Linked DNA regions of Oryctolagus cuniculus. The protein of the gene in region 1 interacts with the protein of each later gene in a pairwise test. Links are inferred from orthologs where the notes say so. Each region holds a gene or a part of one and is shown in the gene's direction. Other genes may lie near its edges.

What was found. The genes of interacting proteins can lie anywhere in the genome.
Region 2: the proteins of SMURF2 (region 1) and SPART interact in a two-hybrid assay, tested with the Homo sapiens proteins (2 studies listed by BioGRID and IntAct). The link is inferred for Oryctolagus cuniculus from reciprocal best matches to the Homo sapiens genes SMURF2 and SPART.

What each region holds. Positions count from the first base shown.
Region 1 is NC_091448.1:14,048,182-14,052,615, forward strand, and holds the start of SMURF2 (E3 ubiquitin-protein ligase SMURF2), read left to right. Parts: upstream 1-1,568; 5' UTR 1,569-1,705; coding exon 1,706-1,847; intron 1,848-4,434. UniProt on the Homo sapiens protein: E3 ubiquitin-protein ligase which accepts ubiquitin from an E2 ubiquitin-conjugating enzyme in the form of a thioester and then directly transfers the ubiquitin to targeted substrates.
Region 2 is NC_091440.1:77,771,325-77,774,973, forward strand, and holds part of SPART (spartin), read left to right. Parts: intron 1-197; coding exon 198-395; intron 396-2,509; coding exon 2,510-2,674; intron 2,675-3,649. UniProt on the Homo sapiens protein: Lipophagy receptor that plays an important role in lipid droplet (LD) turnover in motor neurons.

The sequences.
Region 1 (4,434 bases):
ACCAATTCAGGTATCTCCAGACCTTCTGTAGCATAAAGACGCCATTCTAAAGGTACTTGCTGGCTGCCCTGCTCGTAGTTCGGCACTCAGTATTTTTTGAATGAATTTCTAGCGCTGTCCCTTGTATTTCTAGTCTGTTGGGTCACTTTAATTATAGGGCTGCATTCAGACTGATCAAATGTTTGTGGAGGTCACTTCCCCGGAGAATCAACTGACCTCACTGATGAACTGAAAGCAATGACTGACACTGATTTAGGGTTAAAATTATTAATTTTATTAGACAATGAACATTCCACTAATGGAACAGCCTTAAGTAAACTAGCAAAGCGCACACAGAGAAATCCCCCGCGCTGTTGTCCTTGTGCGTTTCACTGTGCCACTTTTGCACAGGAAAGGATCTTCATAATTGCCATTTCAATGGCTGCACCCAGAAAAACTCGGCTGATGTAATATAAGCCACTGTTAGGCCCTTGGCTCACTCCCCTCTTGCTGTTATCCAAACGTCGTGAAGAACGTCTTCTGTATTGTTCTGTATTTGTTAAAAATAAATTCCTAGTAGTGCAAGTGCAGGATCAAAGTGTAAGGTGCACTTTTTTTTTTCCTCCTGAGATAACGAAACAAGGTACTGAAAAGGCTTTGCATATACAGCTGTCCAAGGTTGATCTGGGTGACAGTCTTCAAGGCGTTGGTGTTATCTCCCAGTCCTCGCTCCGCAGCTGGAGAAACAGCGAGCAGGTAACCTGATCTCGCCCATCAGGTGAGTGCTGGGCCGTGGTGGCAACTGCAGTTCCTGGGGGTTTGCAGAGACGCTGCAAGTGGGAAAAGTTATCCTTCCTCGCCTGGGAGACGCTGACTTCGGGGGACTCACTCCTCACCCAGCACCCGCACTCTCTCCGAGCGCCCTGCACACAGTAGGCGTCTAATAAGTGCAGCTGGTCCTGCACCGGTACACGCTCTACCTGAAGTGGGCTGCACACGAAGCCCCTCTAGGTGCCACAGCGCCACTCTGGCCCCTTGCCCGCTCCCTGCAGCACCCCCGTCGGACCCTGGCCTGCGGGGCGCGCCCGCCTCCCCCTGCCCGCGCCCAGGCGGAGCCCAGGCCGCCCGCCCCGAGCCCCGGGCACAGGCGCGCGCCGGCCCGCCCCGCCCCGGCCCCGCCCCCGCCGCCGGCCCCGCCCCCGCCCCATCTCCTCCCCGCCCCCCGAAGCCGACGAGTGGCGGCGGCCTCGGGACCCGGCTCCCTCAGACAAGAGGGCGGGTGGAGGAGGAAGCGGCCGAGCCCTGAGTCCTGCTGCGGCGCGCCGAGCACCGCCCGCCTCAGCCGGCCGGCCGGTCCCGTCGGCTCCCGGGCCTCGCCGAGCGGGGCGGAGGGGAAGGCCGCGGCTACTGCCAGGCGGCGGCGGGGGCGCGGGCGGAGGCGGCGCGGCCGGCCGCGGCTGCCGCTTTGTTGTGCGGCCCGGGCCGAGGAAGGAGAAGTGGGAGGAGGGGGGAGCTCGGCGTCCCGCTCCCTCCGCGGCTCATGGCGACGACGCTCGGCACATCCGGGACCCTCCGGCCGCCACGGCCGCGGCGCCGGCTGCCCGGGCCCCAGCCCCGGCCGCTGTGGTGACTCGGTCGCCGCGCCTCGCCGTCGCCCCCGCCCCGCCTGCCGGCCCGGAGCCCCGCCGCCGCCGCCGCCGCCCCGGCCGTCCCCGCCGCCGGGGACATGTCTAACCCCGGAGGCCGGCGGAACGGGCCCGTCAAGCTGCGCCTGACAGGTGAGGGGGGGCGGCCGGGGCGGCCGCGAGGTGGGCGAGCCGGCGGGGGGGTGCCTGTGGCCTTGGGAAGGGCCAGGGTCGCGATCAATGGTGAGTCGGGGGCCGGGGGCGTGGGAGGGCCTAGTTCAGAGAAGGTAGTTGGAAAAAGCACTCGCTCGGGTTGGGAAGCCCGAGGGTGAGTCGGGGGGTCTTTTGTGGAAGGGAGGGGTACGCCGGCTCGAACCGCAGGCGGAGTTGGGAGGTCGGGGAGTGTCGGCCGGGGGGTCCGATTCTAATCCGGGGGCTTCGGGGAGCGGCCCCGGGAGGCTGCCCAGGTGGGGTCGTGGAGGGGATTATTGAATCCGGTTGCTGCTGCGCGCAGTAAACACTCCTTAAAGATGGAGCGCTTAACGGGAGGGTGTGAGTGTGAGTGTGTGTGTGTGTGTGTGTGTGTGTGCGCGTGTGCGCGCGCGTTCGTTCCTGGCTTCTTAACTTGTGTGCCCGCGTGCGAAGCCTCCGCGCTCGGCTGCCAGCCCCGGCGGCCGTGCCACACACCTTGACCGCGCGGCTCGGGGAGGGAAGGAGACTGAGGTTGGCTTTTCCGGTGTGTCTGGCTGATCCCACGACTCTGGCTCATTGTACGCTCTGTGTTTTGGAAGTGTTTGATTGTAGGGTAGCATGTTTTGAGTTGTTCCTTGTAGGCCGCAGGACTTGTGGCTCCCTGCTAACTCTAGACCTGCCTTAAACACTTTTTTTTTTTTAAAGGGGCGAGGGTACTTGGCTAAGTGTACTCATACAACTTTCAAGGGAACTTTCTCTCACTTTCCCCACCCTCCCCTTTCCCTTTTCTAAATGGAAAAGAATGTCCATAGGGGTTTGCTAGATAGAAGACTAGTCTTAAAAAGTGTTTGATTCCAGGTGCGTGAAATCTTTATTACAGGTGCGTTTTGTGTATAGAGCTATTTCTGGTTTTCTTATATCAACATATCTCCCCCATTTTAAGGAAAAAAAATTATATTTGCTTGGGAACGTGTAGTTGAAATCAGTGTGTCATCATTCTAGTTTCACCGTTAATGAATTGAACACGTTTATATTTGGATGTGTGGTGAGAAATTTGGTTTTCCTTAGATTGGTGTGTGTATGTATGTGTGTGTGTGCGTGCACGGGCACCTGCGCGTGCGCCCGCGCGCTTCAGAATAAACTGTAATTATGTTTGCCCACACTAGACTTTGAGATTTATACGGACTAATTTTGTAGCTGAATGCTGTGTGTCACCTTCCAGTCCACTGGCTGAACCTTCTAGATAATAACCTGCAGTGAATTTGGTATTGGAGAAGTTAGCCTGAGTTGCCTGCAATTTTAAAACTATATTACCTCCATGAAAGTTTTGCCTTCCTTGGGGAAAATTGCGAAGAGCCATTAACTGAGTGGTTCTTAATGGAAAAATCTGGTTTGAAGGATGCTTGTCTTCCTTTCCTCCATTGAGTTTCTTTATTGTGGGAAATCCTTTAAGGAATCATTGTTGCTTCAGAGGTATCTGTTGCTGTTCCTATCTGGAGTCAGTGAGCATCGAAGGAACCTGTGCTTCCAGATGTGCACAAAGCATCAGAAATGGGCTGTTGCCATTGACTTCCCTCTGGGCTGTATACACGTACATAGAAAATGGAGGGGGGGAGGGAAATCGGGATTTTGATTTTCTGCGGATTACGTGAGTTTTGAGATTTTTAATATGATTCAGTAGGTCATAAAGTGTTTATCTGTGGTTTCCTTATTGCATGATACATTCTAAAAATTGAGTAAAATTAGATTTGTTAGGAAAGATTACACTTAATTTGTTTTCAGGGCAGAGGGAATGTTGGACTACATTTATAGAATGATTTTGTATATTTAGATTGTTCTGAGGGATTTTAAATACCCTTTGTCCCCTTAATTGTAAAAACAGTTTGAGGTACTCTCAATTTCTGAAAACCATTGGGAATTTCTGAATAGTTTTCTCTTAAAATTTGACAGATATTAAAAATATTGCCCTCCCCTGTGGTTACATTTGGTGGAATCTCTTCTGTTTTGCCAGGAAAGTTAACATATATATATATTTTTCATTTTAGTTCATCATTTACAAATTAGACAGTATAGATTTTAACAAATAGATTTCAAGAGCTGGATTCAATTAGCAGCTTTTTAGGACATAAACATTAAAGGGTTAGATGGAAAAGATTGTTTTGACTGACTGGATAAATGACAGGGCTGTGTTTGATGTGCGTCCAGGAATTGGTCTGGAGCTGGTGCCCAACTTCTCAGTCCATCTTGAGAAGCCAAATAAAATATTTAACCTAGGCCTCGTTTTGTTTAAAAAAAAAAAAAAAAAGTTGATTCTTTGTTAGGACCTTAAGAAATGTTTGGCATACCTTTAGACTAAGTGTTTAGCAGTTCATTTAGATCCAGGTTCCCTAATAGAGGAAAAATCTCTTCTAAAAAAAAAAATCCCCACAGTGAATTTTTTACTTTTTTATAGTACACTTGGGCTATAAGATGTTTTATTTAAAGTTATTGTTCTTTGCTTTATTTAACTTAATAGAAGACTAGTATTGTAAATTTATAGTGTCTTTGATTCCAAGGTGCTTTGTGAACTGTAGTTACTCAATTATGTTCTTAATGAGGAGTTGCCCCTTTACTGAAAGGCTAACAATTTTTTTGTGGT
Region 2 (3,649 bases), on another chromosome or scaffold:
TTTAATGCCATCAATGTTGAGACTATATAATTGGTAAAGTAGTGACATTTTTAGCGGTTTTTTTATTGAATGATTTTATGAACAAATGTTTTTATTTCAAACTTATAAATGTTTACTTTCTAATAAAACAGTTTCATTAAAACCATGGTGAAAATCTAATTTCATTCATTTTTTGTTGTTCTGGCTAATCCTTTCAGGTTTGTGACTGGTTGTATCCTCTAGTTCCTGATAGATCTCCAGTTCTGAAATGCACTGTGGGAGCTTACATGTTTCCTGATACAATGCTGCAAGCAGCAGGATGCTTTGTAGGGGTCGTCTTGTCCTCTGAGCTACCGGAAGATGATAGAGAGCTCTTTGAGGATCTGTTAAGACAGATGTCTGACCTTCGACTCCAGGTAACTTGAGTGATTATCTTTAGGATGAAAATCTGCTTTAACATCAGCACTTCTGCTTTTAAAGACGTTGTAATAACCTCTAATGTGATCAGAGTTAGGAGACAGAGTATATAATTTGTATGTTCACAACTATATGTTGGGAATTTGCTGTAAATACTGTTTAACTTTGTGGGTTCTGGAATCAAGTTGCCTGAGTTTGGATTCAAACTCTTCTACTTAATAGTTATTTATTAACTCAACTATTACTGATCATCTCCATACTTGAGTTTCCTAATCATAAAATGTGGATACTACTAATAACGTCCACCTCATTGTACTATGGTGAAGATTAAAAGTTAATCCATTAGGGGCTGGCATTGTGACATGGTTTAAGCCATGGCCTGCAGTGCTGGCTTGCCATATGGGCGCCAGTTTGAGTCTCGGCTACTCCACTTCTGATTCATCTCCCCGCTAATGTGCCTGGGAAAGCAGCAGAAGATGCCCCAGATTCTTGGGCCCTTGCACCTCTGTGGGAGACCTGGAAGAAGCTCCTGACTCCTGGTTGGCCCTGCCCTGGTTGGTCGTTGGGACCATTTGGGGAGTGAGCCAGTGGATGGAAGTTTCTCTCTTTTTCACTGTCTCTCCTTCTCTCTCTCTTTCAGTCTGACTTTCCAATAAACAAATATTTTATTTTAAAAAAGGTTAATCCATTAAACCATTTTTTTCAATGCTAACAGATTAAAATGATTATCTGTCATTTTCTGTTTACTTCTTGGTGGGGAAGGGGGACTGAATGGTGAAGTGAAGGTAATTTTAGCACATGGCTTATATTGGACATTTTGGGAATATGATTGGCATTTTGAGAAAGAAACATGTTTTGTTTGAGAAAATCATCTTTTTCTGGTACATGAAGACCAAATATATGGAAAATACAATGAGATTTAAAAATAAGATCATCCTGTGAACTTTAGCCTTTTCTCTGCCCACATGCTTATTTGTCACAGGAAGTTCTAATAGGTTGTTATGAAGAGGCTTTCTTTAGGTGTTCTGCCCATCCTACCATATGGTAAGAAGAGTGGAATGTTTTGATAATGATTAGTGACAGTTATCTGAGGTTGAGTGAAACTGACAGCATGATAGCATAAACTTGTATTCTCTCCAGTCAGTAGGTGTTTGGAATCTTTTTTAACCAAACATTAACTGCTAACATGGTGGGATGGGAAGAGTGAGAACATGAGAATAAAACAATTTATAGAATAGCTTCTGTTCCCAAGTATGTGAGCATGACCTGGTGATCAACAAGCCAGTACTCTAGGACAGCCAGCAATAATTTAATCTGTGTTAACAAAACACATGAATTGCCACACAGAAGTGTGTAGCCTCAGTGTGCTCATGGAGAGTTCAAAGGACATGGTAAAATGCATCTGGATTCATCTTAGTTTTGCTGTGTACTGAGTGAAGTGACACTCTAGTGTGGAGCTACTTCTCCTTTCATTCATTGACCTGGTTTTGTTGAGCTTTAGGAAAGAAATTAAATAGACTTTTACATTAATGTATATGTTTTGTCTGTTAATTTTATTTTAATTAACATGTATTTTTAGTTGGCTCTCTTGTCTCAGAAATTCAGCCAGAAATAAAAGCTAGTTATCGGCTATAGTTTTTACTTTAAAGCATCATTTAGCAGAATATGTACTTGCAAAGTACTTTAATGCAAAAAACAAAGAAAAGCAAAATAGGCTTTCAACAATGCAGAGTAGTTAAGACCTAAGTTTTGCTAATTACCCTTAAGCTTGTTTTAGTCATATATAATACATATGTGTTTCCTAAAATTTATTATCAATTATTTAATTAAATTCAAATGTAGTTGCATCTGATTTAAATATTACTTACATTAACAACTGTTTTATGTTATCTCTTATACTTTGACATTTATTTTAAACCATGTTGTCTGAACCAAAGAACTCAGAGGTTTGTCAATTGGTGATCAAGATGAAACAAGAGTTTAGGGATAGAAGTATAAGTGGTTGTTATTGACAATTGAACAAGTGTGTCACTAAAGCATAACGCAACACATCCGGAGAAAAGAAGTCTGAGAAAATTCTGGTTAATGCTTAGCTTAGTCCTTCACTCCTTAGGCCAACTGGAACAGAGCAGAAGGAGAAAATGAATTCCAGATCCCTGGAAGAACAAGACACCCTTCTGACCAACTGAAGGAAGCCTCTGATACTGATGTGAGACAGTTGGGTCCTACAGACCAAGGCAGTAAGGATGTGCGTCTTAAAGGAAAACGTGGAAAAAAGGTAAATAAAGGAGCAGTGATAGTGTGTTCTAGTACCTTTCATCAGTTTCATGTATTATACGATCTTTTCCTCATCTACTAGAGCAAAGAACTTAAGAAGTGAGATGAGTGACATAGGCCTGTATCATAGTGCTTATGAGTTCAGTTAACCCTCACTTTACTAATATTGGCTCCAGAGCAAAAGACTTGGTTGGAAATTTGGATATGCCAAAGAGGAGCCGTAGCGTTTCCTCCAAGAGAAAAAGTGAAAGTTCTGGACTTAATAAAGAAAGAAAAAAAATCTTATGCTGAGGTTGCTAATGTGTCAGATAAGAACAAATTTTTGGTTTGTGAAATTGTGGAGGAAAAAGAAATTTGTACCAGTTTTGCTATTGCAAAACATTCTTATAATTGTTCTATTTTTATCATTGGTAATCTTTTGCTGTGAATAATTGTTAAGTAAACTTGATCATAGGCTAGTATGTGTAGGATATATCTATATCTGTCTGTCTGTCTGTCTATTTGGGACACAGAAATCAGTACTACCTGGTTTCAGCATTCACTGGGGGCATTGGAATGTGGAGAAACGAAGACTACCACTTTCCCTGTAATTTGGCCAACAGAGTGGGTACTCAGTCTTTCTGTGTTTGGGCAGTCTGATAGATCAGAATGATGTATTAAAATATCTAAATTTGTGTTGATTTCAGTTTGAATAATGTTGAGCAACATGCTTAAAGTTTCTTTGAATTTTGTGTTCTGTATATGGTCTTTTCATAACCTTTGTCTATTTTTATGAGTGGGTTGTTAGCCTTTTTTTTCTTCTCAGTTTCCAGGAGCTCGTTATAACTTAGAGATATTGGCCCATTGTCAGAAGTTGCAAATATTTTACCCAGTTTGTCTCTAGATTTTACTTGTGTGTTATTTTTCCTTCCATGTAGAAGTTTTAGTTTGTTTAAGGTGTGTGTATTTAAGTGAAATTCTTTATATTTCTTTAAGC